Cricetulus griseus: one gene and its partners. The main gene of each other region encodes a partner of the protein of the gene in region 3 in a complex. Links are inferred from orthologs where the notes say so. Each region holds a gene or a part of one and is shown on either strand. Other genes may lie near its edges. The genes, in order: Med25, Med8, Med13, Med18, Med1, Med21 and Med31.

Region 1 (4,201 bases), on a different chromosome or scaffold from region 3:
TTGCGCTTTTAAAGGAACTAAGTTCAGTATTCAGCACCCACATGACAGCTCACAGTCTCCTTTAACTCTTAATTCTATCTTCTGATCTCCATGAGTACTACAAGCATGTGGCATTTAAGTACATGCAGAGAGATATTCATGTACATAAAGCAAAAATAAACCTTAAAAAACAAAAAGCTGATTGTGACAACATCCACAGAGAAACTCTGTTTCGGGGGTGGAGTGGGGTGAAGAAAACAAAACAAAAAAATAAAAATAAAAAACAAACAAAACTCCATCAAAAACCAGGAGCTGGGAAAATGATACAACGCAAGCATGAGAACCGAAGTTCAGATTTCCCAACACTCACATTTTAAAATGTGTTTGTATCTTTCTCTTTTTTTGTTGTTGTTTGCTTGTTTTGTTTTTTCAAAACGGAGGAGTTTCTCTGCGGAGCCTTGACTATTCTGCTATTCTGGAGCTCACTCTGTAGATCAGGCTGGCCTGGAACTCAGAGATCCGCCTCTCTCTGCCTCCTGAGCGCTGGGATTAAAGACGTGTGCCACCGACGCCTGGTTCAGCTCTTTTCCTAATCTTTTCTCTGTTTTCCTTTTTTGAGACAAGTTTTCTCTGTACAGCCATGTCTGTCCTGATACTCGCTGTAGACTTGGCTGGCCTCAAACTCAGAGATCTGCTTGTGTCCACTGTGCTGGGATTCAAGGATTCAAGGCTCCAGCACCCCTCTGTCCACACATGTTACAGTAATTTTCCAGGTCATTTTATATTCATGACGTTGGCTGCAATGCCGAGTGACTCATTTATTTATTTATTTGTTTATCTGTTTATTAGGAATGTATTTGCTTTGAACCAGTTACTGGCTTCTTTCTCAGAAAACAGGGATCAGGTGTTGCTTAGCAACCTCCACTTAAGTTGGAATTCGCTTCTTTCTGAGCGAAAACAACTGCCCTGGTTTCCAAGTCGTCTGCAACGTTACAGTGTTGCCTGGCAACGCCGTTTCCGAAGATGTGATTGGACCGCTCTCTCCCATCTGTTCCCTGTGAGAAAGACTAGAATTTATTAACTTAATCTCCGTGTGAGAACACAACGGCTGGGTACGCGTTGCCTAGCAACCTGGCTCCACAAACTTCCCCCTTCAGCTCCGAGTCGGAAACTGGAGGCCGACTCCAAGATGGTGACCGGATATGCCGTTTTCCGATTTATTTCGTGCTTGATGTTGTGGACAAAAGTTTGTTAGTTCTCAAGAGTCCCCCAGAGGGGTTTGTGGTGCCCGTTCTGATAATTTCCTGGTGTGGGAATCGCCAGGGTAGAGATAAAACCACCACTCCCCGGATGCCCCGCACAAACATGGCCGCGTTAGCTTCAGCGGAGGTTGCCAGACGTCCGGCGCGGGTGAGCGCATCACGCAGGCGCACTTCTGTTCGTCCCGGGACCGCAACGGCAGCTGCGGCGCTGGCGGCGGCGGCGCGGGGCATGGTCCCCGGATCCGAGGGCCCGGCTCGGGCCGGGGGCCTGGTGGCCGACGTGGTGTTTGTGATCGAGGGAACAGCAAACCTGGGGCCGTACTTCGATGAGCTCCGCGACCACTACCTTCTGCCCGCCATAGAGTGAGTGAGGGCCCTCGTCGTCTCCCTCCGCCCTGACCTGCGGCTCGCACGGACGCTGCATTTCCTCCTGTCTTCGCAGGTACTTCAACGGGGGACCACCCGCAGAGACGGACTTCGGTGGAGACGTGAGTCTGTGGCCGCGGCACGGGGAGGAGGCTGGGTGTGGACCTGGTCTGAGGTTGGGAGGCCCTGTTCCAAAGACCTCCGTTTTAAAGTTCTTTTGTCCTGTCCTCTCAGTATGGTGGAACCCAGTACAGCCTTGTGGTGTTCAACACAGTGGACTGCGCCCCAGAGTCCTACGTACAATGTCATGCTCCTACCAGCAGCGCCTATGAGTTTGTCACTTGGCTCAATGGCATCAAGTGAGCTTTTCCTTCATTTTGGGCAGATTGGGGACCCCAGCAGAACTCAGCGTGGGTCTGTGCGAGTCTGTCTTGTTCCAAGCAAGAATGGGCTACCCAGGCAGTGGGATCCCTGGGTACAGACCACCACAGCCTGCTAGGGTGTGAGTGTCTGCAATTACTGCTTGCCCTGTTCTTGTGCTTGGTTTGCAAATGAGTAGCAGTGTAGACTGCTGGGTGCAGGAAGGGTCTCTGAAGCTAATCTTTTCATGTGGAATCCACAATCTAGTTGTGGTCAAGGGTCATTTGACAGTGCTGATCTAGTCCCAACCGGTTCTTAACCGTCCTGACTTGGTGAAGCAGGTGTGCTTTGAATGCCTGCTGTGTTCCGGTTTTTTTTTTTTTTTTTTTTTTTTTTTTGTGTGTGTTGTGTGTGTGTGTGTGTGTGTGTGTGTGTGTGCATGCACTCCACTTGGAGATTGTCTGGACTGGGAATTTATGTAAAGCATGGCTTCCCATGCTAGCCATTGTTGACACTTAGCACTCAAGTTTTGTTAAGAAGACTGGTTTATTTTTGTTTAACTTGTGCAAGTGTTTTGCATCCATGCATGCCTGTTTACCTCTTGTGTGTCTGGTGCCCTTGGAGGCCAAAAGAGGGTATCAGATCCTTTGGAACTGGAGTTAAACAGTGTGAGCTGCCATTTTGGTGCTGGGAATACAACCTGGGCCCTCTGGAGGAGCAGCCAGTGTGGTTTCTTTCTTTTTTTTTTTTTTTGGTTTTTCGAGACTGGGTTTCTCTGTGTGGCTTTGGAGCCTATCCTGGCACTCGCTCTGGAGACCAGGCTGGCCTTGAATTCACAGAGAGCCACCTGCCTCTGCATCCTGAGTGCTGGGGTTAAAGGCGTGTGCCACCAACGCCTGGCTGCAGCCAGTGTTCTTTAAGATTTTTATTTATATTGCCAGGCTGCAGTAGTGCACGCCTTTCTTCCCAGCACTCAGAAGTCAGAGGCTGGTGGATCTCAGTGAGTTTGAGGCCAGCTAGAGGGCAGATGGCACCTTAGTTAAGAACTGCTGGGCTAGATTGAAGTGAGACTTGAGTAACAACCATCTGGAGTTCTGTGAAGCCCCAAGGTCCACACTGCTGCATGTCAGGGTTGGTGTATGTGAGGCCTCTCTCACATTTGGTTAGGCGTGAGTCTGAGGGCCAGTGCCAGCCAACTCAGTTCTATTGAACTCCTGATTGGCTGTTAAGTCTCCTGTGTCCATTTCTGTGCAGGGAACTTGTGTGACTTTTCTTATGAGCCAATTGTCCTCTGCTACCTGTCACTGCCTCTGCTTCTGGACCTCAGTGGAAGTCCAGTACCTGCTGTTCCTCCTCTAGACTGCTTCCAAGTAGGGTTTTGCTCCTACAAGGCTTAAGGAGAAATCTGTGTAAACAATGAGTGATGGCTGCTTGAAAGCTCCTCAAAGACACCGGACCTTCCTGGTGCAGACTGCAGGAAGAGTGGCCCTCCCTTAGGAAAAAGGCTGACTATGGGTACTTGAAGATAAAAGGGAGATACTGTCTGGACTGCACTGTGTTCCCCACTTGTACACTTAAAATCCTGTAGCTACAAGTGTCCCCAGTTTGGAGGCCTCTGCTACTGTTAGGTAGTTCAGCATTGTTTTACTCTCCCAGGGTCACTGTTCTGACCAAGGGCCGTGACCCATGTCCAGGATGCTCTGGGCAGGACTGGAATGGAAATGAGAGTCAGCAGGACTTGTCCCTGCTTGAGAACACTCTCCTTCTGCTGTTGATGATGGTGCTTGGAGACAAGGTGCACAGTACAATTAGGACACAGCCTTGCTCTGGGCTTGTTTGTTTATTTTGTTTTGATTTTTGATTTTTTTTAAGACAGGGTTTCCCTGTGTAGTTTTGGAGCCTCTGAGTGCTGAGATTAAAGGTGTGTGCCACTGCCACCTGGCTGAGTTCTTTTTCTTTTCTTCCTTTTTTTTTAAATTATAAGTCCCATTTTATTTTTCCAAGGTGTTTTTCCTTCTGTCTTCATGAAGCCACCTCTTTACATGGGCTTTGGTGGCGGTCGTGGTGCAGCACCAGCAGGTGTGGTGGGGGTGTTTGGTCCTTCCGGGCTTCACGAGATGGATTCCTGACTACCTTACTATGACTAGCACAGCTCACACAGGAATGTAGCCTGACATTTGGGAAGCACATAAGCATTGAAGACACTTACTTCGGATATGTCCCTGACAGCAACG
Region 2 (4,176 bases), on a different chromosome or scaffold from region 3:
GACTGCTGTGACGGTTGCAGGGCTTTTCCAAAAAGCATGGACGCTAAAGCGAAATCAACTCATGCTATTGATTACATTCCAGTTGATGAGCTACAAAAACCCGCAAAGTCGGTCAGCTTCAGCGTGGCCCAATGAAAATCGCAACTAATACCCCAAACACGAAGTTTTGTCATTACAACCATCTCTAGATCTGTGGGTGGGAGATGAGGATCAGGATGACATCTGAGTAAACAAAACAGCTACGGCCTCCTCGAGGCTCCGGAGGGTGGAGGCTGCTACGCGCCTGCCCTCTGGGCCTCGGTCCCGCGCCCGCCCGCCCCTCACCTCTGGCTCCGGGCGCTCCGAGGCCATCACACAGCCCTCCCGCGCCGGCCCGGGCCAGGGAGGATGCTCCACTCCTGACCTCTGACCCAGCTAGCTCGGTACCGGGCAGGAACCGGAAGTCGTAGGGATGGCCGCGTTCTGAGTTTTTTGATTGGTGGGCACAGACGGCGGCGCGAGAAACCGGAAGAGGAAGTGGTTGCGCCAACCGGGCCGTGGCAATGCAGGTGAGAAGCCGGTTGGGCCTCCCAGCCGCTAGCCACCGGCTGGAGGGTGGGCGGGCCGAGGACTCTGGGAAGTTGGAGCTGTGAGGATAGGGCAGAGGCCTCGGCTGTTTGGGGAAAGGCGGCGAAGCCGGAAGGGACGAGGACAGCTGCGGGGGGCGCGGGGATTTAGCGCGCTAACGCCAGAGGGTCAGAGGCGTGGGTTAGGGGGAAAGGCACGGCCGACTTGCTTGACTGTGTGAAAGGATCGAATTGGCATTTGGGAAGGCTAGAGAAAGAAGTGGGCTGGGACAGCCCTCGACCTCGACTGTTGGGCACAGGCGCAACAAGGCTTCAGAAGGCTGAAGGGATTGTGGGCCGCCAAGGACGAAAACTAAGCAGTTTGTAATCCGAGGCTGTGGGTGGAACCTAGTATCCAACCTCATCCTTCACATTCTCGGGTTTGCAAATCAGCTTTGTGTCATTCTTCCCGCCTTGTACCCCGTTGCTTAGGGCGCAGAAGTGGAGTAAATAGACCACAGATGGTCAAACGGAAACCCTCTGCCAACACAGCATTTAAAATTGTCTAACGTCCAGAAAGAATGTGTTGGTTTCCTCGCCTTTGTCTTCCATTACTCAGTTTGTTGCACCTGGTATTCCTACAGTGACTGTTTATGGGTCACCCGAGTTTACGAAAGAGACACTGGAATACTGGCACAGAGATGCAGGAGTACACATTGACTCAGCAAAGGACCAGTTGGGGAGGGGAGCTGCAGAGCTGGTGTTCAGAGACAGCCTCAGATACGGGCAAAATGTGAGATTCTCCAGATTGTGTTGAGAGTAGCTGCACTCACAGGGCAGAGGATAATGGCTTGCATGTACTATAGAGGCACCCATGAGGTAATGAGATAATGAACCTCAGGTGTGCCTTCTGGCCTTATATGCCGACAGCACCCCTGTTACCTTGGCAAACCTTTCTAACATGTACTGAACTTTCTGAAAGAAATGTGGCAATACCAACTCCACAGAATGACACAATACAAGGATTCTCTATATGCCCAAGGAAAGCAGAGTTAGGACATCAAGCAGCTGCGTGGTAGGCAGACTGTTTTCCAGAAAAGGCTAGACTTAACAAAGAAGATTGTGCTTTGGCTTGAGCATCTGCAGATTAAGAGAATGTTGGCTTTTAAGAGAGGCAGTCTTTTGAGCTGGGAGGAGAAGAGAATCGAAGTGAAAAGATGAAGGGCTAAGTGATAAACAGTTCTAAGCCAGTTTTGTTATGAAGACAAAATGGTGAGGTCATAAGCAGAAGGGAATTAGGTCTGGTGTAATGTTCCTTTTGAAGGGCCATAGTGTAGGAGGTTGATAGAAGGAATCAATTGGTAAGAGGACTTCAGGCCAGGTGAACAGGTTGAAAGGTCTAAGGGTTGATGCTGTCTGTAACCCAAATACCAAGATAGAAACCAATTTAGCTTTTCTGTATGTGCCACGATCGCTCGTATCTGAGTAACCAAGCATACTGTTGATGCAGAGGGAGGAGAAGCAGCTTGAGGCATCCTTAGATGCACTGCTGAATCAAGTGGCCGATCTGAAGAATTCACTGGGGAGTTTCATTTACAAGTTGGAAAACGAGTATGACCGGCTGACTTGGTAAGGATTGCCAGGGCAAGCCGGGGAGGGAATCCATGGGTGGTGGGGCCAAGCCCCCGGGCTGACAGGACATCTCCAATGATGTAACTATTTATCAGTTTGCAAATATCCTTTTTGATTTGGCAAGAACTAGGTTGCCCAACATTGACAAGTATAGTTTGGCTTAAAGCCTCCATGGCAAGGAAGTAGAGAAATGCCCAGTTTCCCAACGTAGGCTGTTTCGAGGTTTTAATTCTTACGCTTTGACTTCTTTGGTGAGGAGGTGTTCCCCCAGTGGGGAACCATTAAAGCTATATTCATGCTGGATCTCCTTCCACAGATGTGGCTGAATCTGAGATCCACCCTACTCTGGAATGATGGATTCTGTTAACTAGGCTAGAAAGGAGGCTTTTATCCACTTAAAGAATTTTTAGTTACCACAGTGTAACCACAGTTTCTGTTTTCCACTACCTCCAATCCCATTCAAACAATGAGTTACGACTGGCAGTGGTGGCACACACCTTTAATTCCAGCACTCAGGAGGCAAAGGCAGGTGGATTTCTGTGATTTTGAGGCCATTCTGGTCTACAGAGTGAGTTCCAGGACATCCAGGGCTACACAGAGAAACCCTGCCCCCTCACCCCCCCAAAAGGAAAAGAGTTGCTTTTTTTCTACGTCTGTGTGTCCGTGTTGGAAATTGACAGTGTGCTCCTCTTTCCCAACTCCATCATCTCTGCTAGAAAATCTGGTTCTTGCCTAGGCTAGTCATAGGGCTGTGAGTCTTCTGGGGGTGAGTCTGGGTGTTCCAGCATTAGAACTTTAGAGATTACTTTATAGGGAAAAGTAGTTCTGATGACTTCCTACCACCCGCAGGCCCTCTGTCCTGGATAGCTTTGCATTGCTCTCTGGACAGTTGAACACTCTGAACAAGGTCTTAAAGCATGAGAAGACACCACTGTTCCGTAACCAGGTCATCATCCCTTTGGTGCTGTCCCCAGATCGAGATGAAGACCTCATGGTAAGAAGAAAGGATTGAACCAGGGAAATCAGGTCCTTAAATGAAAGTCTGGAGCACAGTTGTTGATTGGACCCTCTGTATAGCAATGAAAAGTAGGGGCTGCTATCTGGAAGACTTGCTTTTTTGTCCTTCTGGAGTCAGGAGTCACTCTTAAATAATGTTGTGAAAGCCAAGGCCATGTCAACTAAGTCCATGACCTTTCTTTTCCAAAAAAAAGTCTGTTCTGCTTGCCTGTAACTTTGTCCAATCAGTCTTTAAAATGTGGGGTTAGGAATTTAGCTCAGTGGTAGAAAAAAGTCCTGGTTTGGTCCCCAGAATGGGGGTGGGGAATCACGAAAGACCAAAACAAAATAGAAACAACAACAAAAAGAAAATTACAGTGCGGTTGTGGAGGGTGGAATTTATTTTGTCCTAGTTCTGATAGAGTGTATGTGAAAAGACAAAGCCACAGAAAGCTACATTTGTGTCTCAGGTTGTGTTGTCTCTAAAAATGCAGTTTCCCACGGAAGAGAAACTGGGTTAGAATCGGCTTACTTGGATAGCACAATAGGATCAATACAATCTGTGTTACAGCGTCAGACTGAAGGACGAGTGCCTGTTTTCAGCCATGAGGTCGTCCCTGACCATTTGAGAACCAAGCCTGACCCTGAAGTTGAAGAGCAGGAGAAGCAGCTGACAACAGATGCTGCCAGAATTGGTGCTGATGCAGCTCAGGTTGGACTGAGTCACTGCCCTGCTGCCCCATCCCCATCCCTTCATAAGAAGCAAGACTTTACCAAGCCTGGGTAGTAGGAGTCTGTGGTTGGTTACAGCTAGGCTGCCTTTGGAAGAGCACAAGGAAGATGCTTTCCCAGAGTCATTTCTAATCACTACATCAATTCCTGTGTGTTGCAGAAGCAGATCCAGAGCTTGAATAAAATGTGCTCAAACCTTTTGGAGAAAATTAGCAAAGAGGAACGAGAATCAGAGAGTGGAGGTAAGGAGGCTGGTTGGCAGAACAGAGTG
Region 3 (3,500 bases):
TTTATTATAATTTTATACATAAAATACTTAACATGATTGAACTAAATTCCACAATAAGAACAAGAAGCACTTTATATTCATTTATGACTGTCTTAAGATTAAAAAAAAGGGGGGGCAGGCATTGGTGGCACACACCTTTAGTACCAGCACTCAGGAGGCAGAGGCAGGAGGATCTCTTTGAGTTCAAGACCAACCTGATCTCCAGAGCAAGTGCCAGGATAGGCTCCAAAGCTACACAGAGAAACCCTGTCTGGAAAAACCAAAACAAACAAACAAAAGATACAAAGAGACACCATAGATTCTGAATTTCCACAAACTTAAATTTGCTTTTATCTTTTCATACACTGTCCACAGGCTTCAAGCAGGCTAAACCCATGCTACTTACTGCTCAACTATCTCTCAACCCCAAGCATCAGTATCTTAAAAATACCTTTCTGACACATCAGGATGTGGCTGAGTGGGAAGCGAGGCTGACTCGCCTGACATTCCTGCTGCCTGCAGAGATGATGACTGCTGTCCTCCCAGCTGGCCACTCTGAACTGTACTTGTTTGTGCAGACATGGATCCTGAACCACTAGTGTTCATACTGCCAAAGGGTGGAAATGAAGGCAGTTTATTTGATGACACTCCACTACTCATATTGGAAGATGATGAAGATGAAGTTGTGGTCAAAGTTGAATTAGCTGTGGCAACTGAAGTAGATATGGCAACACCTGAAGTCATTGTCATAGTGCTACTTGCCGCAGATGCTAAGGTGGCAGATGGAGTATTAGCGTTTCCAGTATTTGTCATCTGAGGTGCAGTAAGCAAAGACTGATTTGTAGGGGCAACTAAATTTGGCTGGGAGAGCAGAGAGCTGTCCAACGGCTGAGAAGCAAGATATGGACCTAAAGAACAAAAAACGGGTATTTAATTCTTGGTTTCACTGACTTATTTTTATTCTACTAAAGAAATAACAATTTAGTTGATACTTTCATGGCAATTATCTTCCCTTAACTGTTTTACTAACAGTGTAGCATGTAATAGCTTTCTATTTTCTCCCAGAAACTAAAGAAACAAGTTTAAAATGGAACTATAAAAGTAAACCTGCATTTTCATTCAAATTTAAGATAATCAATATGAAAATGTAAGAAAATTTTATTTCCTGGGCAAAATTAGATGTAAACAAAGGCTGACAAGATGGCTCAGTGATTAAGTTAATCCCCAGGAAGCACATGGTAGAAAGAGAACCAACGCTGCAAGTAGCTTTCTGACTTCCACTGATTCAGGTGCATATACCCAACATACTCCAGTAAATGTTAATAAAAAAATCAGAACACATCAACAAGCGTGACAGCAGTATGTAACAATTTTTCATCAAATCACTGCAAGTGTTATTAAGTATTATTTCTTCACAAAGTGAAGAAATACTGTCCAAACTGACAGCTAACTAAAATATAAAATGGAGGAATAGTACCATGAAGCTCAATTTACAAAAATGTCTAAGTTCAGTAATTTGGTATTACATCTCTTTGGATAAATGTAAAAAAGTTCACTGGTATTTAAAAGTACAAAAAGGTTTTAAATAACAGTCATTCTCTTAGCCACAATAAGACTTTTTCTGGAGTTGCATAGTTGACTTAGAAATTACATGCATCTGAATTATTAACAAATCGTAGATCTTGAAGTGCGTAAAACATCAGATCCCACAGAAGTAGCAGAAAATATTTTGGAATCCATAATGTCTACTTGAGAGGATGCCCACATACGAAGCAAACGGAATTTCTATGTGGACAGTCAGACAGTACATATTTAACTTTGAAACCACAGCCTTTGCCACATCTACTCAGTTCTGACTTTACAGGACAAAAGCAGGCAGAGACAGCGTGTTTGAAAAATGGAGATGGCTACATGACACTAGGATATTATTTACAAAAATAGATGATGAACCAAGCCACAATGCTCACACTACTCTTGTAGAATGAATACAAATTTATTACCTAAATCATATCTGCAGACTTGTGCATAAAGCTTGAGCTTAGAAAATGCTTCATTGTTACCATCAGCTGCCTGAGAAAACCATTCTGTTACAAACTTTTCTGAAAGCTTCTTTGATGCAGTAGCTCCCACTTTCATGATCCCATCCGTCAACAGTCGAGAAATAGGTCTGTGTTGGCCCAATCGACAGGACTACAAATACATATATAAAAGGTAGACTCAGGGAATCTATTATACTATTAGGGTACAGATATTAAATTAAAAACTCAATCTATTTAAAACAAGCTTTATTACTTATAATTAACAACTGAGTCAAAACACCATGGGTAAGTATGCAGACACTGGTCATCTTCCTTTAGGAATTTCAAGCTGCTGCTTTGCACTCCCCTCCCCTGCCCCCTGCCCCCAACCCACACACACACAGCTCAGGTAGCCCAAGCTGGTCTCAAACTTTCTATGTAGTTAAGGATGACCAAGAATTTCTGATCTTCCTGCCTTCATCTCCCGAATGCTGGAATTATAAGCATATACCACCATCCCTAGTAATACGGTTTTTCCAAGATATGGTATTCACTGTGAAGGCCAGACTGGCCTGGAGACTTTCCGGTTTCAACTACCTCAGTACAAGAGTTACAGATATGCACCACCACACCCAACATACCAAGGGTTACTTTAAATATAACACATATGCCCTCGATGGGTCCCTCCTATACTATGTTTTCCACTGTGACCCAAGGCACACATACCTAACAGAGACTAGCAAAAATGTGGAAGAGTATAGTTTCCTAGTAAGACAACTGACAAAAATCAGCATTTTTCATCAGCCAGTAGAATTCCCCAGTATAATTTAAACATAAATTATAAAATACCTACCTCATATATTGCAGTAAGATCTCTAAAAAAGCTTTTGGCTCCATTTAACAACGCTTCATTCTCTGGACAGAGTACAACATAGGCTATATCTCTTTGAGATCCATATGGTTCCAGCATAAGTTTCTCCCAGTAAGGGAGAGCAAATGGAGAAAGCACCAGAAAATCGTAATCATAACCCAACAAAAACGTGGGAATTGGCAGTGGTTCTGGAGATTCGTCAGTTCCTAATAAAGAAGGAAATTAGGAAAAAGCCAGTTCATGTCATCTTTATTTCCAAAGCTAATAAATAGATTATTAGGAAAATATTAAAGACAGAAACATATAAAGCTAGCAATGACATATTTTCAGAATTAAAAATATCCTTAGGTGCTCATTTTAAAACATTTCCTGCTATTTTGTTTAGGGCAATCTTGTTCTATAAACAGTCAGATCGAACTTGCAGCAAGCCTCCTTCCCTTGGCCTGTTAAATGCTGGGATTATAGGCACAAGTCATCACACTTGTCATTAATTAATTTAAAAGTAAACTTATTTATAATTAATATGATGAATAATTTGTTTACCATAAAGACTTACGAGAAAAATCATAAGATATACTATGTAACATTGTATACATGTCAACTATACTATATTTTATTTCTTAAAACTTGGT
Region 4 (4,299 bases), on a different chromosome or scaffold from region 3:
TCTACTGCTCCTGCAGAGGACCAGAGTTCAGTTCCCAGCACCCACATCAGGCAGCTCACAACTGTCTGTAACTCCAGGTCCAGGGGATCCAACGCCCTCTTCTGGACTCGGCATGGACATGATACACATAAACCCAAACAGGCAATCACACAAATAAATGAAAGATATTTGCCACTTCGGAGGCAGAGGCAAATGGAGCTCTGCGAGTTGGAGGCCAGCCTGGTCTACATAGTGAGTTCTAGGACAGCCAGGACTACCCAAAGAAACTCTGTCTTGAAAAACCAAAAATAAGTAAACAAATAAAAACAAACAAACAAATAAATACAAAGATAAAGGACAACTGCCCAAGGACAAAAATTAAATGTTTACTCGGTAACATTTTAGAGGGACCAATGTGACGGCTCAGTGGGTAGAGGTGCTTGCTGCCAAGCCTGATGACCTGAGTTCAATCCTTGATACCCACCTAATGAAGGGAAAGAACTAACTCCCACATGTCCCCTGACCTCTACAGGTGTGTTGTGGCAAGCACAAGGCCGCTCCCAAACAAATAAAATGTAATAGAAAAATCTAATTAAATCCAGTACAAATATCAAGCCTGAGGACTTGAGTTCAATCCCCCACCCACACAGTGGCAGAGAAATGACTCCCACAAAATATGCAAGAGCGCCTGTATACACGTGCGTATATACACATACACACACATTTCAAAAATAAATAAAGCTTAACTCTGCCTACTAAATATATTGTATGATCTCCTAAAAAAGTCAGCATTCTCTTTGGGTCTTGTTTTATCATTGAGCCTTTATCTCTGTCTTCTGGGCTTTAGGACAGAGCTAAAAAAAATAAAATAAAATTTAGGGGTCATTACAAGACTCAAGCAAAAGCCGGGTGGTGGTGGCACACGCCTTTAATCCCAGCACTTGGGAGGCAGAGGCAGGTAGATGTCTATGAGTTCAAGGCCAGCCTGGTTTACATTGCAGGCCAACCAGGGATATATATAAAGTGAGACCCTGTCTTCAAAACCAAAACCAAACGAACAAGCAAACAAACTACCCCCTAAGAGTCAAGTAAGTAGATACAATGCTTGAGATACTCAGTGCAGAATAGAGATTCGGAAACAGGAACTTAGCACGGCCTGGTAGCCTAGGTCTGCAATTCTAGCTAATAAGGAGTCCAGGGCTATCTAAGACCCTGTTTCCAAAAATACAAAAACCATGTAAATATAAGACATAATTCTGTCAAGGATATAATGCCAAGTAAAAGAAACCTGTCACAAACCAGTCATTTCACTTCTTTGGGGCATCTAAGCAGTGGATGAAGAAAACAAGGTGTGGAGGTGATCAGTGTCAGTCGAGAGGCAGAAAAAGTAAAGATGAAAGAAAATGAAGCAGGGGGGTGATGGTGCACACCTTTAATCCCAGCACTTGGGAGTTTGAGGCCATCGTGGTCTACAGAGTGAGTTCCAAGACAGCCAGGGCTACAGAGAAACCCTGTCTTGAAAAGCCAAAAAGAAAAAGAAAAAAGAAAAGGCAATTGTTTATGGTGCATCTCGTTAAACCCAGGTACCTGAGGCCAGACTGGTCTGTGTGGTGAATTTCTGGCCACTGAGTCAACCTTCCCACCCTACCTCCTTTAAACATACTTACAGGGAGACAGAAACTGTGTGGTTGACTTTGTTAGCTTTATCTCTACTTACTCTGACCAAAAAAGAAAAGGAAGGAAGGAAGGAAGGAAGGAAGGAAGGAAGGAAGGAAGGAAGGAAGGAAGGAAAAACTTGGCAATTAATGCAAGCTCCCTGGCTCACTTACCCTGCAGGAGGTACTCCATCATGTTAATGGTGCCCCCAGTGACTGGCATCATGGTGACTGGAGGGGCCTCCATGGTGACGGTCAGGTAAACACGGGATACACCTGGAAGAGTCACACTTGTTTGTACACTGGAGCGGTTAGTAGCGTGGCTCCGGCACTGAAATCAAGACTCAGGCATTCAGAACTTCGCATTTATTTATACAGCCCGCTCCATGAACAGGCGACACAGAAACAAGGGTTCTGGCCACGGAGATACGGCGTAACCTTCTAATCTCAAATTCTGAACCCTCTAAGTTTCCTAGGTAATCTTGAGGCAGCTGTGCAACCTCTTTTTCTGGAACTTACTCTTTTAAATAAGACTAGGGGCATTTAACCGCCCAGCCTCCCTCCCCCAGCTACGTGGCTCAAACGAAACAACCGACATACAACTAAATTCAGAAAAAGTAGAGTCACCTTTAGGCTACACAGAGGCCCCGTTTGCAAACATAAATAAAAGCTGGCCGTGCTGGGGCACATCTGTAATCCTAACGCTCGACAACAGAGTTAGGAAGACGGCTGCAGGTTCGAGGCCAGACTGGTCTACCTAGCAAGTTCCGGCCAACCGGGGAATCGCAGTGAGACCTCTAAAAACCCAAAACAGAAGATCCGAAGGCGACCTAAGGACCTTCACCCTAGGCGGACGCCAAGGAGACTCAGGGAGAGGCGCCAGGGTACACGGGGGTCCGCCTGGAACAGGGCTCGGCCTTTTTCCCCTTTTCAAACGAGCCAGGCGGGAAGCGTGACTAAAGTGACGGCACCGGTCCTCCCACGCCGGGATCCCGGGCACGTGTGCACTTACACTAGCAACACGCCTCCGTGCACGCCGCAGCTCCCCGCGAAGCTGGAATTAAGTCCACGCTTGCACACTCGCACCCACAGATACCAAAATCCCGCCAGAGAAGATGCAGGCATCCGCCTTCCGCACTTCCGGCAGGAAGCTGACGGACAGGAAACCTAGGCCCTGAAGCGCCGAGAAGTAAGGGTGCCGAGAGGGCCAGGAATGAGCCTGCCTCCTGGCACCGGGGGCAAGAGCGCATGTGCGAAGTGCGGCGCTGCCTTGCGAGGGGGTCCTGGTCTGGAGCGGTGCGCTGGGGATAACTGCAGGGCCTTACGTCATAGGGCAGCTCTAGGATAAGTGGCGCTCTCCCCCACAGCTCCGACGACCTGGGTGTCTTGATCAGATCTCTCCAAACTGATTGGATACTATGTTTAAATTGTGAACTGAGCCACTGGGGAAAGAGCCGCATTGATAGCATCAGATAGCTCAAGGTGACAGAGGTCTGATGCGCTCCCCAGCTAAGCACAGCGTTGTGCCTGTATGGGCCTCAGTGCTAACACTGAATGTTTTGTGTGTTTTCAAAGGTCTGGAGAAATAGCTCAGTGCTAGACCCTTTCCCTGGCCTGTGCAAACTTAATACAACAGCAAACTTGTATAATTTCCTGTACAAACCTCAACTTTACGTACAGGGAACCATGCGGGGCGTTGGTGACGCACGCCTTTAATCCCAGCGCTCCCGAGGCAGAAGCAGGCGGATCTCTGTGAGTTCGAGGCCAGCCTTGTCTACAGAGTGAGTTCCGGGACAGCCTCCAAAGCTACACAGAAAAAACCTGTCTTGAAAAACCAAATAAAGGAATGAATGAATGAATGAATGAATGAATGAATGCAGGGGACCAGGCACAGTCTGAATCAGAACTCGGAAGGCTGTGGTAAGAATCTCTCCAGCAGAACTGTTCAAGACTTAAACAACATTGTGAGACTTTTCAAAAATAAATAAATAGGGGAGAGGCTCAGCAGTTAAGAGCACTTGCTGCTTTTTTTTTTTTTTTTTTTTTTTTTTTTTTTTGGGGGGAAAGGTTTCGAGACAGGGTTTCTCTGTGGCTTTGGAGGCTGTCCTGGAACTAGCTCTTGTAGACCAGGCTGGTCTCGAACTCACAGAGATCCACCTGCCTCTGCCTCTGCCTCCCGAGTGCTGGGATTAAAGGCGTGTGCCACCACTGCCCGGCTTTTTTTTTTTTAATCATTTTTAAAGATTTTATTTATTAATTATGTATAGAATATTCTGCTTCCATGTATATCTGCACACCAGAAGAGGGCACCAGATCTCATTACAGATGGTTGTGAGCCACCATGTAGTTGCTGGGAATTGAACTCAGGACCTCTGGAAGAGCAGGCAGTGCTCTTAACCTCTGAGCCATCTCTCCAGCCCTCTAATAACACTTGTAATGCAACATTTTTATTTATTTTTTTATTTTTTTGGTTTTTCAAGACAGGGTTTCTCTGTGTAGCTTTGGAGCCTATCCTGGCACTCGCTCTGGAGACCAGGCTGGCCTCGAACTCACAGAGATCCACCTGCCTCTGCCTCTCGAGTGCTGGGACTAAAGGCGTGTGCCACCAACGCCCAGCGTAATGCAACATTTTTAAAGATTAATGAAAAAAAAAAAAAAAAAGATT
Region 5 (3,962 bases), about 12 Mb from region 3:
AGACAGGCGGATCTCTGAGTTCAAGCCCAGCCTGGTCTACAGAGTGAATTATAGGACAGCCAGGGCTACACAGAGAAACACTGTCTTGAAAACAACAACAACAAAATAACTACAGACTAATCTACATAAGGAAACCTTGTCTCAAAAAGGATACTAAAAACCAAGGGGCTAGAAAAATGGCTCAGTAGTTAAGAGCTCTAGCTGCTCTTCAAGAGGATGTGGTTAGATTCCTAGCATCCATACAGAAACTCACAAACATATCCAACTCTAGTTCCAGGGGATCTGACACCCCTGGGGGGCGGGGTAGGATGGAAAGGTGGGGAATGGGGGATTGATATGTAAATAAGAGTGCTTCTAAAATTTAAAAACAAATAAATAAAATACTACTAGTAACAAAAGCAAAACGAACCTTTTTATTATTAATGTCTTTATGTCTATGTATGTTGTATAAGTGCTGAGTACAGTGCCTGTGAGGGTCAGAGGAAAACTTGCTGTCCTTGCCTTGGATCTCCCCAGCCCAAAAGTGGTTTGTTTGTGGTCACAGTTGAACACATAAAGATCCATTTGCCTCTGCTTCTTCAGCACTGGGATCAAAGCAGTGTTCCACAATTCCCAACCTATGCTTTTAAGAACACCAGCTGAAAGCCGGATGGTGGTGGCACAAGGCACCAGCTATGCACATGGTACCCAGAAATACATAAAGACAAAACAACTACACACATAAAATACATACTTCTTTAAAAATTACTTATATGTGACTTTTTATTGCCTGCATGTATGTTCATCATGTCTGTGCAATACTCAAGAGGCCAGAAGGTGGCAACCAGGACCCCTAGGACTAGAGTTACAGATGGTTGTGAGCTGCATGTGGGAGTGTGCGTTCTGGGAAGCAAGGGCTCCTCATCACTCAGACACACTGGGAAGTGAGGGCTCTTAATCTCACTCAGACAGACTGACAGACTGACAGACAGACAGACAGACAGACACACACACACACACACACACACACACACACACACACACACACACACACACACACACAGAGCTCCCTCTTCCCTTTTTGAGATTGTGTCTCATAGCCCATGCTGACTTCCCGGTCTATCTGGCAGAGGATGATCTTGAGGGCTCACAAGATGGCTCAGTGTGAATTAAGGCACCTGCTGCCAAAACATGTAAACTGAGTTCTATCCTCAGAGTCCACACATGGAGAGATAACTGACTCCTGCCAGTTGTCCTTTGATGGCCACATTTACCCTGTGGCAGGCAGATGGCTTCACGCACAAACAAATAAATGAATGTGAGGAATGCCCTTGGCCTCCTGATGCTCCTACCTCTACCCCCTCTGTGAGGCTGAAACCAGCCTGGTCTACAGAGCAGTTCTAGAACAGACAGGAACCCTGCCTTGAAAAATAAATAAATAATCTCCTTACATAGTTCCATATTTTCACAACCAGCATGCACACAAATACTAAGACTAGACTCCTCATAAGAGAGGGGAAAAAAGTGCTATTGGTTTAAGTATGCTTATTTTGCAATCCAGTTCCCTACAACTGTCATGACTTCACTTGGCTGAGCCAGTTGATATGAGTTAACGTAGTGGGGAAAGGATCTAAACCAAGATTCAAACTCTTTCGAGAACCTAGCTGGGTGGTGGTGGCGCCCACCTTTGATCCCAGCACTCGGGAAGCAGAGGAACAGGATCTCTTGAGTTAAGAGACCAGCCTGGTCTACAGAGTGAGTTCCAGGACAGCCTCCAATGCTACAGAGAAACCCTGTCTGGAGAAAAAAAAAAAAAAAGCGAAAACTACAAAAACAACAAAAAGTAAACAAAAAAATCAACCAAACAAACAAACAAACAAAAAACTTAGCTGATCCAGAGGGTACAGGTTTGTAAGCCAGGACTAGGGAGGTTGAGGCAGGAAGATTATCCTGAGTTGAAGGCTAACCTGGGCTTCGTGGGAAATCCTTGTCTCAAAACAAAACAAAAAAAGATTCAATCTCTTCCTTTTTCTGCCCTCTTCTGGGGAAGTGGTTTGGGGATTGTGCCTAACACATTCTCCCAATTTCTCTTTAAAGCCACGCTATCCAAGCACAATTAGAGGAGCAGCTTTTAAATTCGCAACGCGGGGCTTGAGCAGTGACATTTCGGGGAAGAAACCGAAGGCCTCACCGTGTCACTCACACTAGGACACCCTGGATCACCCTGACACCTTGCTCTTCTGTCTCTACTGTCACCCTCAGATACCGCTGCTGGAACAAAGAGTAAACAAGTGTCCACGTCACTCTCCTCATGTCCCACCAGGTTGAGCTACCCCGAGGCTCGACTGCTCCGTCCCTAGTCAGGCAGAAAGCCGTCCACAAAGCGGGAGGGGAGGCGAGGCGAGGGGAGGCCACCTCAGAGTCGGCGCCCCGCAGCCTCCTCGGGCGCAGTCGGAACCTGACACACGCTCCGCGGGGACCCTTTCCGGGCGCCGCGGCCCGGGGGGCGTGGGTCCCACTTCTCTCGCCGATTGGCTCCCCGCCGCTGAGTCCCGCCCCTCCGACCCCCCCTCAGCCACTCACCCTCGGTTTCCCCCTGAGCCTTCATCCTGACAGCCGCGAGGCCTCGGGCCGGCCAGGGGAGCGTGAGCCTTTCCCCACGGCCGGGAGCGGAACCAGGCTGTCCTGAGCTCCGGGGGAGCGGCGCCGCAGCGGCCCCCGCGCTTCCGGGGAGGGCTCAGTCTGAAGTCCCCGGCGGCAAGAAGAGAAGGGAGCTCGCGGCCGCCGCCATCTTCCCCAACGGAACTTCCCAAAGATCGCGAGATTAATCGTGTTCCTGCGCGACAGAGGAAGAAGAAAAAAAAAAAAAAAAGTACTAAAATCTCGCGAAAATTGGCTGGCTCGTCTTTGCCGCGGGATTTCTAGCCGGCCGTCACCGATTGGCTCGTGCTCACGGCTTCGCGTTTTAAGTGTGATCCCGGAGAGTCGGCGTCTCCTCTCAACCTAATGCTTGCTTCCCTTCTGCCTTCCTTTCCCCTTCCTTCTTTCTCTCTCTTTCTTCTTTCTCTCCGGTTTTTTTGTTTGTTTTCTTGAGACAGGGTTTCTCTGTGTAGGTTTGGAGCCTATCCTGGCACCCGCTTTGGAGACCAGGCTGGCCTCGAACTCACAGAGATCCTCCTGCCTCCGCCTCCCGAGTGCTGGGATTAAAGGCGTGCATCACCAACGCCCAGCGAATTTTTAACAATTTCATAATTATTAATGGGAATTTAGATTAAAGCAGTTTTATTTGTTCCAGTTACCACGTGTCTGACTCCACCACAATTATCATTGTGTCACATTTTATTACACCAGTGAAAATATACAGCTTAACTACTTCTCTACAATATGAATGACAAAAATGTCTTCAGTCGGGGCTGGAGGGATGGCCCAGAGGTTAAGAGCACCGACTGCTCTTCCAGGGGTCCTGAGTTCAATTCCCAGCAACCACATGGTGGCTCACAACCATCCGCTATAAGATCTGGTGCCCTCTTCTGGTGTGCAGATATACATGGAAGCAGAATGTTGTATACATAATAAATAAAATCTTTTTTAAAAAATGCTTAGTGACCACTATTCTGAGAGTAACTTAAAAAAAAAATGTCTTCAGTCAACGTCTTGTTGATAGGACTCTATCCAACTCAAGCATGGCGAACATGGCTCTGGCAGGCCTTGCCCTTCTCCCCCTAGAGAGCTCTCAGAGTCCCAGAACTTATAAATTTATTGGAATGACTTATAGGCTACTGTCGAGCTAATTCAACAATTTCTGAATCTGCTGGAATCCTAAGAATTAGACTCCAGTGCCAGAGAAGGAATGGATGTGCTCACAAGGCAAGGGTAAGCAGGTGGAGAATGAACAATCCCTCCCTTCTTCCATGTCCTTTACAGACTTCCAGCAGAAGGTATGGCCCAGATTAAAGGTATGACTTCCTATCTCAAAATCTGGA
Region 6 (3,386 bases), on a different chromosome or scaffold from region 3:
TTCTCTATCCTCAGTGAGGAGAGGCGGCAGTCTGAGGCTTGGTGGGGAGCTCGAGGATCAGCCCTTTCACCTGAGGTAGAGGTGAGAGCTAGTGGCCGGCTACTTTCTCTGATCTTCAGCTTGAACCCCAATATCAGTCTCTGGGTTTTTATTAATTGTGTTACACTAGAATGTGTGACACTCTGAAGAAGAAAGCTTTCAGGTGACTGTCTATTTCCTATCTGCTCTAATAGTTTCTTAAAAAGACTTTCAGAAACTTTTGCTCAAAGATATAAACTTACATGGTGCCATCTTTAAGGAGGGGGACACTATCTAAATTGAAATGTCCCATATCATGGCCTTTAAGGCTATGCTGACCTGTGGATGGGCTGCAATCATACAATGTCTGTCAGAACCGGGGAATATGGCCTAGTGACAAAGTGCTTACCTAGCATACACAAGGCCTGGATTCCATTCTGTACTGCACAAAACAAGAAAAACAACACATGCAAAACATCAGAGAGCTGTATTGTATAGCTTTTTAATTATAGCATGAACATTAGTACAGTATCTACCTTGAAAATTCTAGTCAGATAGATAAAAAAATGACATGATGTTTGAGGATGACTCAATTGCAATCGCAATCTTAAAGCTTTTTAATATCGAGAGTGAAAACTAGTAAAAAAGGAAACAGTCACAGCGTATGATGCCCCCCAGCTGTTGGAGGGACTTAAGCCCATATCTGAGGCGGTATTCTTAGTGCCCTTCAAACAGTTATTTTCTCAGTCACCTGTTTCTGTTGTTGCTAGGAATCTGGAAGCGACTGGCTACGGGTGACACTTCTGGTCTTCAGTTGTGACTGTGCAATGTCGGCAAGCGCACTTTGGATCTTTTCCAGAAGCATGTCTCCCCGATAAACAACATCCTCCAGACATGTAGCAGCTTCATGATTTTCTTCTTCTAGCTTATATAAGCTAGCAGCCTTCATAAGACATGAATTTTAATATGCTCAGAGATGAAATGCAGAGAAACTAAAGTACAAGTATTTATTTTAAAATCAGAATGGTTTTCCAATCATTTTTTTATCTTTAGTAACAGATAATTCTAAATACCTATTTAATTTTTCTCTATGACTTATTAGAAGACTAATTTTCTTTCTTTCTTTTTTTTTAAAAAGATGCATGTATTCATTATGTATACAGTGTTCTGCCTGCATGTATCCCTGCAGGTCAGAAGAGGGCACCAGATCTCATTACAGATTGTGTGAGCCACCATGTGGTTGCTAGGAATTGAACTCAGGACCTCTGGAAGAACAGTCAGTGCTCTTAACCTCTGAGCCATCTCTCCAGCCCTGAAGACTAATTTTCAATCAGAATATATAGGTGTTTGCTTGTACATTGCTTGTAGACGTTACTTTGCTCCACTTTCAGTAAGGGCATTAGGAGACTTCTGCCTAAGATTAAATTGCTCAGTGTCAATACTGCCTCGAATACACATGATCTGATCTTTTAGGTCAAAACTGGACAACTATTCAGCACAATCTTCAGAGGCTGTTTTAGTTCACAATTATAGAGTGTTTGCCTGCTATGTGAGACCCTAGATTTGACCACAAAACAAGCAAAAAACCAACCACAATCAAACAAAACCCAAAATACCTTCCAATTAAACTTTAGTCCTAATTTGAATGCCATACCTCCTTTAATTCAAAGTTCTCTATCACTACTACTTTTATGAAAAGAAAGGAGTTTTCACCTGTAAAGCAGCTGTCGACTCTTCGCTGGGTAAGGAATCTATCAAAACATCAATATCTTTCGCTGTTCGTGCAATCAGTGCTGCAAAAAGCTGGGCATACTCTGAAAAAAAAAAAAAAACAACATTAAGTTAAATTAGCAAAACCTTACATTTTCACAAGCACAAATTATAAATTAATAAAACTAGAAAAGTTCAGCTTTCTAATATAATCCTAATGGTGAAAGTATAATTTTAGTATATCAGTACTATTTATACCCTTAACATTAATTCAAACTGGGAATTAGCATAGAATGTCATTTTATATACTAGGACAACATTTTGGTACCTTGAGCAAATGAACCCATAAATGAGATCCTTTTTTTTACTAAGGTCATACAAGCAAAACTCAGTTCAATCTATACAGTTTATAATTAATATAAGCCTCAATGTGTTTATTTGGGACTAAAGGGCTGGGGGACCAGGTGAAACAGAAATTCAGTCTTCATAAGCTCTCCTCTAAGGGAGTAACAATCTTTTATTGAAGTGAATAGAATCATGAGGCACATGAATTGAGCTGATAAACTCATTCCTTGACCAATGAGATAGCTTTGCAGATAAGGGCATGTAGTTGCATGTTTTCTGTCTCACCCGCCAGTTTATAATTGTTTGGCTGATAACTCAGACTTCTTACTGGCCTTTCTTTCCTTTCTTTTCCTTCCTTCCTTCCTTCCTTTTCTTTCTTTCTTTCTTGAGACTGGGTTTCTCTGTATTGCTTTGAAGGCTATCCTGGAACTGGCTCTGTAGACCAGGTTGGCTTTGAACTCATAGAGATGTACCTGCCTCTGCCTCCCCAGTGCTAGGATTAAAGGCGTGTGCTACCAATGCCAGGCTTTTTACATATAAATTAACCCATTTTTACTAATCTATGTATCATTTAAGATTTATTTACTTATTATGTATACAGTGTTCTGGCATGCCTCATTACAAATGGTTATGAGCCATCATGTGATTGCTGGGAATTGAACTCAGGACCACTGGAAGAGCAGCCAGTACTCCTAACCTCTGAGCCATCTCTCCGGCCCCCTCTCTCTGCATCTTTGTTTGGATTTCCCACCTAGTTATATTCTGCCTGGTCACTGGCCAAAACAGCTTTATTCATCAACCAAAAAAAGCAACACTTATTCATAGCATACAGAAGGACCTCCCACATTGCTACCAAGTCTAAGGACCACAGTGTGATCCCCAGAATCCACATGGTGAAAGGAGAGAACAGGTCTGGAACCTATGACCTCTTATAAGCATACTATAGCAGGCCTGCCCACATACACACCAAGTAAATAAATGCTAAAAAATCATTTATGGAAAAACATAGAGCAATGCACTTCAACCACAGTCACAGTTTTACAAAGGAGCTATAAATTGTAGAAGGAATGTTAGTCAAACTAAGGAGACCTCACCTTCTGTGGGATTGGCGGGTTGGTCTTTATTAATTGCTGTTTGAATGTTACTAAAAGAGGCAGGAGGACCACATTGCTGTAATACTCCAATGGCGTTACAAAACTGATCTGCAAGCTTGAAAAAAAAAAGAAAAAAAATCAAGGTTACAAAAAGAGTTGTCAATTTTATGGATTTTATGAGATATGGCAACAATTTCTTCATAATAATGATCTCTAAGC
Region 7 (3,962 bases), about 13 Mb from region 3:
GCACTGTTATAACAGCCTAATAACTTAAAAGTCTCTCCTTCAGATTCCTAAAGGAATCAATAATTGCATCATAAAGAGCAAATCCGGTGCAATCTGTTCTACAGGCAGTCCAGGATCAATTCAGAAAAGTGACTAGGATATAAAGAAAAGGCTTGAAATGTTTCCCTCTAATTTTTAAGATAGGGTCTATGTAGCCTTGACTGGCCTGAAACTTGCTACATAACTAAGCTGGCCTAAAACTCACCGGGATCTGCCGGATCTTCCTGAGAGCAGGGATTAAAGGGGCATCAGGCTAAAATTTCTGGGTTTGTTGTTGTTGTTGTTGTCCACCCTTTTAGGGGAGGGGGAGTTCAAGACAGGGTTTACCTGTGTAGCCCTAGCTGTCCTGGAAGTAGCTTTGTACACCAGGCTGGCCTTGAACTCAGAGATCTATCCACCTCCACCTCTACCTCTCAAATGCTGGGATTAAAGGTGTGTACCAGCTTGTTTTTCTTTTTTAATTAAGACAAAGCAGAGGGGTGAGTTCAAGGTTTTGTTTTACCATTCAAAGGGATAGCTGTGTAGTTGTGATGTTTCTCACAATTGTCTATCAAACAACTTGACAGTGTTCATGTTTGTCTTTCTTTTGTTTACAGTGAGTTAATGTGCACGATACATTTAGCACAGTACTTGACACATAGGAAACTATAAAGAAGACAGTAAGTCTAAGACTCCCAGAAAACACCACTTCTTATATGTTCATTTTCAGCTTATGGCTATACCACTACATTTTAGTAGTTTATAGGTTGGAAGGCATTAGAAACCCAGAGAGACAAGGGGAATGCTAAATGACAAGTTCAGACAGACCAAATCAAATCAGAGTCTTACTCTAAAACTAGTTACTGGATTTTATCCTACATGAATAGAAGTGGCATGTTCTGATTTATACTACTAAGACAGTAAATTGGTTTTGACAGACAACTGTTTGGCTTTGTTTGGTTTGAAGGGAGTGAGGTAAGAATGACAGCAGAAATAAGTGAGATTACTGTAACAATTCAAATTAGAAATGACAATGACATGACATGAACTAAAAGCAGAAAAATTCAAAACATAGTTTGCCATTCTGACACCGAGAAAACTGCTAAATATAAGCACTTCGTATTTATAATAAAGTATACACAGATTTAAGATTATAAAAATTAAACTTACTTTAGATACTTGGCATATTCTGGTTCTTTCCAGTAAAGCAAGTACTTAAGATAATTTACAAAAGCTTTGTCTTTGAAGTAACCTCTTTGGGCAAGAACTGAAAGGCATAAAGAAACAATCTGTATGTCAACCAACTGCTGGACTACTGACTTGTAATCGCTACAATAAAGTAGCTCTTTTAACATTCCTACCATCAAAACACAAGGAATTAAAAAACACAAGTCCTTGTTTGCTCAGTTAATAACTACAGACCATCGAAAGTAAAATCCCATTCAAACATACCGAAGTAAATACTATTATGAATTCCATCTCTTCTGTCAGAAATCATTAACAGCTAGCTACTCAACTTAATGATGTACTCGACTTACAATTAAGGTAATTTGGGTTGGCTAAACATTGCACAAATTCCAACTCCAACTGAAACCGAAGTCGATTTCCAGCATCATCTAGGAGAAAAAAGTAAAAGACACCCAAAATAAAAGTCACGATACCAATGATTTGTAGAAACAAAAACAAACTGCCAGTGAGACTGCTCAGCATGTAAAGGTGCTCACAGAAAAGTCTGATGACCTGAGCTCCATCCCTGGAACCCGCAGGGTTGCAGGAACAGTAGACTCCTGCAAGTTGTCCTCTGACCTCGGCATGCACCGCCCACCCCCATAGGAATGAATTTATGAAACAAATACCAAACTGCAGGAGAGATTTCCTTAGAAATCTCAGAGTGGAGCCTGGTTTAAAACAAAACAAGCCGAGTGGTGCATGCCTTTAATCCCAGTTCTTGTAAGGGGGAGGCAGGAGGATCTCTGTGAATTCCAGGCCAGCCTGGTATACATAGCCAGTTCCAGGCTAGGCAGTAGTACATAGTGAGACCCTGTCTTCAAAACAAAACAAAGATAATAAATTACCTAAAGTTAGTTGAGAAAAATAAACGAAACGGCTATTTAAGGCCACTATGGGAGGATGGTAACAGAGATCACTGGTTGGTCTGTAATAGCTGTGCCACCCCCAATGTTAGCGTTACAACCACAACTACTAACAGTGATTAAGTTAAACAAAAACAAAGTGCTAAATAAAAGCAGGAAGCAAGATGCAAAATGATTAAACAGCGGGGAGGAGACGGTAATCCGTATCAGAACCATACACGTTACAAACATTTCAAGCAAGTTCACGGGAAAAGCTCCATAGAGCAGACAATTGAAGGGCTCGGTCCTCTCCCTCAGTCCCACCCCGGCCCGCGAGCCAGGGAGTGGAGGTGTGAGCAGCCCAGGAGCAAAGATGTCGTTCACACAGGCCACAATCAGAGACAACACCGCCTTCTCCCCCACCGATCCCAACTCCTTAAGGATGCCGGGTTAAGCCCGAAAGACGGCGCGGGGAAACCGGAGAGAAGGGGGGAGGACCCGTTCCCTCGGTGAAGACTCCAGGAGCACGACACCACGAACCTGTCTCCATAGCGACGGCCGCGGCCATAACCAGAGAGGAGAGAGACGCGAACACAACCAGCCCGACCCAACCGCGGCTTCAAATGGTGAGGGAGGATCCGGAAGCCACGGCTCTTATTTCCGGTCGCGGGGCATGTGGGACGCGAGGGCGGAGACAGCCTCCTTCTGAGGAGAGAGGCCCCGCCTATCTGTGTGGTCTGGGCCGGCAGCCTGAGCAATTATCTAGCGGCGCGTGCTGGAAGAGCTCGTTGCTCGCAGATCCTATGTGGCCCGCAGCAGCCTACACTGACGTAGCTCATCACCCTGACGTCACCGTCCCTTGTGTGACGTGACACAGAGCATGAGTCTTGGGCCTCTGTGTCCCTTCTGACCTGGGTGTGCCAGCAGGATGGCCTCGCCCCTTAGGAGTAAATCCTTCGCCCCGCGAGTGGAAAGCACCCGCCAAAAGGAAACGTCGACTATCCGCGTGGAGACGTCGTCCCACCGCGAGGAAACGTCATCCCACCGCGTGGAGACGTCCTCCCGGCAGGTTCGAACGTCTTCTCGTCAGGTGGAGACCTCTCAGCGCCACCGAGAGGGACCCTCCCTGACCTCCTCCGCGAAGCGACTCCCTAGATTCCTCGAGGTATCCTCCCAGCACGTGGAAACCTCCTCGCAGTGCACGGAGACGTCCTCCAGCCACGTCAGGGCGTCGTCATCCCTGCGGGTGGAGACGACTGTGCACCGTGTAGAGAGCCCAGCCAGGAGGGACAAGCAAACAGCTCGCCAGAGTGCCAAAATGACCCGATGAAGTGGCCATGGCCCTTAGCCAGCACTGAAGTGTTTCCATTTGCCAGCCAGCCAGCTTCCAGGAGAGCCAAGCATCTTTGGTTTCATGGAAACAGCCTGTAAATCAATGTAAGAAACAGGCTGTGGTTTCTGGGTGCTGCCAACATGTATTGAGATTGCATCACCTTAGACCACCCTGCTGTTGACCCAGTGTACTATTTAACTCGAAGCCAGCACAGAAGGGCTTCAGACTTGCGGTGCGTATATACTCGGCTGATGATGGACAAAGAGGCTCTTTGAGTCTCTGCACCAGGTAAGTTTCGTAGCCTGAGGTCCCTCTAGAATGGTTTGACCACTTGAAATTTGCGAAGAAGGACCAAACTTGTCATGAATTCATGACCACTGGCTTGATTATATAGTGCTTGAAACCAATAGAACAAAGAATCATCTTTCATGGATTATTAATTGACCTTTATTTGTATTTCATAATAAGCTTTCCTATGTTAAGTTTTTATACACAGTACTCCACATACAGGCTTTTATTATTTTTTAAATAGGTCAGGG

What was found.
Region 1: Med13 (region 3) and Med25 share a complex: the UniProt entries of both Homo sapiens proteins name them as parts of the mediator complex. The link is inferred for Cricetulus griseus from reciprocal best matches to the Homo sapiens genes MED13 and MED25.
Region 2: Med13 (region 3) and Med8 share a complex: the UniProt entries of both Homo sapiens proteins name them as parts of the mediator complex. The link is inferred for Cricetulus griseus from reciprocal best matches to the Homo sapiens genes MED13 and MED8.
Region 4: Med13 (region 3) and Med18 share a complex: the UniProt entries of both Homo sapiens proteins name them as parts of the mediator complex. The link is inferred for Cricetulus griseus from reciprocal best matches to the Homo sapiens genes MED13 and MED18.
Region 5: Med13 (region 3) and Med1 share a complex: the UniProt entries of both Homo sapiens proteins name them as parts of the mediator complex. The link is inferred for Cricetulus griseus from reciprocal best matches to the Homo sapiens genes MED13 and MED1.
Region 6: Med13 (region 3) and Med21 share a complex: the UniProt entries of both Homo sapiens proteins name them as parts of the mediator complex. The link is inferred for Cricetulus griseus from reciprocal best matches to the Homo sapiens genes MED13 and MED21.
Region 7: Med13 (region 3) and Med31 share a complex: the UniProt entries of both Homo sapiens proteins name them as parts of the mediator complex. The link is inferred for Cricetulus griseus from reciprocal best matches to the Homo sapiens genes MED13 and MED31.

What each region holds. Positions count from the first base shown.
Region 1 is NC_048599.1:153,725,702-153,729,902, reverse strand, and holds the start of Med25 (mediator of RNA polymerase II transcription subunit 25), read left to right. Parts: upstream 1-1,401; 5' UTR 1,402-1,470; coding exon 1,471-1,604; intron 1,605-1,683; coding exon 1,684-1,729; intron 1,730-1,841; coding exon 1,842-1,966; intron 1,967-4,201. UniProt on the Homo sapiens protein: Component of the Mediator complex, a coactivator involved in the regulated transcription of nearly all RNA polymerase II-dependent genes.
Region 2 is NC_048595.1:33,902,819-33,906,994, reverse strand, and holds the start of Med8 (mediator of RNA polymerase II transcription subunit 8), read left to right. Parts: upstream 1-1,376; 5' UTR 1,377-1,391; coding exon 1,392-1,424; intron 1,425-2,055; coding exon 2,056-2,174; intron 2,175-3,026; coding exon 3,027-3,171; intron 3,172-3,744; coding exon 3,745-3,885; intron 3,886-4,065; coding exon 4,066-4,147; intron 4,148-4,176. Other genes in the region: KICSTOR complex protein SZT2, read right to left, coding at 325-351. UniProt on the Homo sapiens protein: Component of the Mediator complex, a coactivator involved in the regulated transcription of nearly all RNA polymerase II-dependent genes.
Region 3 is NC_048600.1:99,532,909-99,536,408, forward strand, and holds part of Med13 (mediator of RNA polymerase II transcription subunit 13), read right to left. Parts: intron 3,075-3,500; coding exon 2,851-3,074; intron 2,170-2,850; coding exon 1,980-2,169; intron 888-1,979; coding exon 431-887; intron 1-430. UniProt on the Homo sapiens protein: Component of the Mediator complex, a coactivator involved in the regulated transcription of nearly all RNA polymerase II-dependent genes.
Region 4 is NC_048595.1:20,799,995-20,804,293, reverse strand, and holds the start of Med18 (mediator of RNA polymerase II transcription subunit 18), read right to left. Parts: upstream 2,801-4,299; 5' UTR 2,647-2,800; intron 1,966-2,646; exon of another isoform or gene 1,911-1,965; 5' UTR 1,882-1,910; coding exon 1,809-1,881; intron 1-1,808. UniProt on the Homo sapiens protein: Component of the Mediator complex, a coactivator involved in the regulated transcription of nearly all RNA polymerase II-dependent genes.
Region 5 is NC_048600.1:111,310,312-111,314,273, forward strand, and holds the start of Med1 (mediator of RNA polymerase II transcription subunit 1), read right to left. Parts: upstream 2,801-3,962; 5' UTR 2,588-2,800; coding exon 2,563-2,587; intron 2,442-2,562; exon of another isoform or gene 2,171-2,441; intron 1-2,170. UniProt on the Homo sapiens protein: Component of the Mediator complex, a coactivator involved in the regulated transcription of nearly all RNA polymerase II-dependent genes.
Region 6 is NC_048601.1:3,053,536-3,056,921, forward strand, and holds the end of Med21 (mediator of RNA polymerase II transcription subunit 21), read right to left. Parts: intron 3,283-3,386; coding exon 3,168-3,282; intron 1,833-3,167; coding exon 1,732-1,832; intron 962-1,731; coding exon 785-961; 3' UTR 501-784; downstream 1-500. UniProt on the Homo sapiens protein: Component of the Mediator complex, a coactivator involved in the regulated transcription of nearly all RNA polymerase II-dependent genes.
Region 7 is NC_048600.1:86,054,533-86,058,494, forward strand, and holds the start of Med31 (mediator of RNA polymerase II transcription subunit 31), read right to left. Parts: upstream 2,801-3,962; 5' UTR 2,659-2,800; coding exon 2,631-2,658; intron 1,635-2,630; coding exon 1,557-1,634; intron 1,286-1,556; coding exon 1,189-1,285; intron 1-1,188. Other genes in the region: uncharacterized protein C17orf100 homolog, read left to right, coding at 3,019-3,420. UniProt on the Homo sapiens protein: Component of the Mediator complex, a coactivator involved in the regulated transcription of nearly all RNA polymerase II-dependent genes.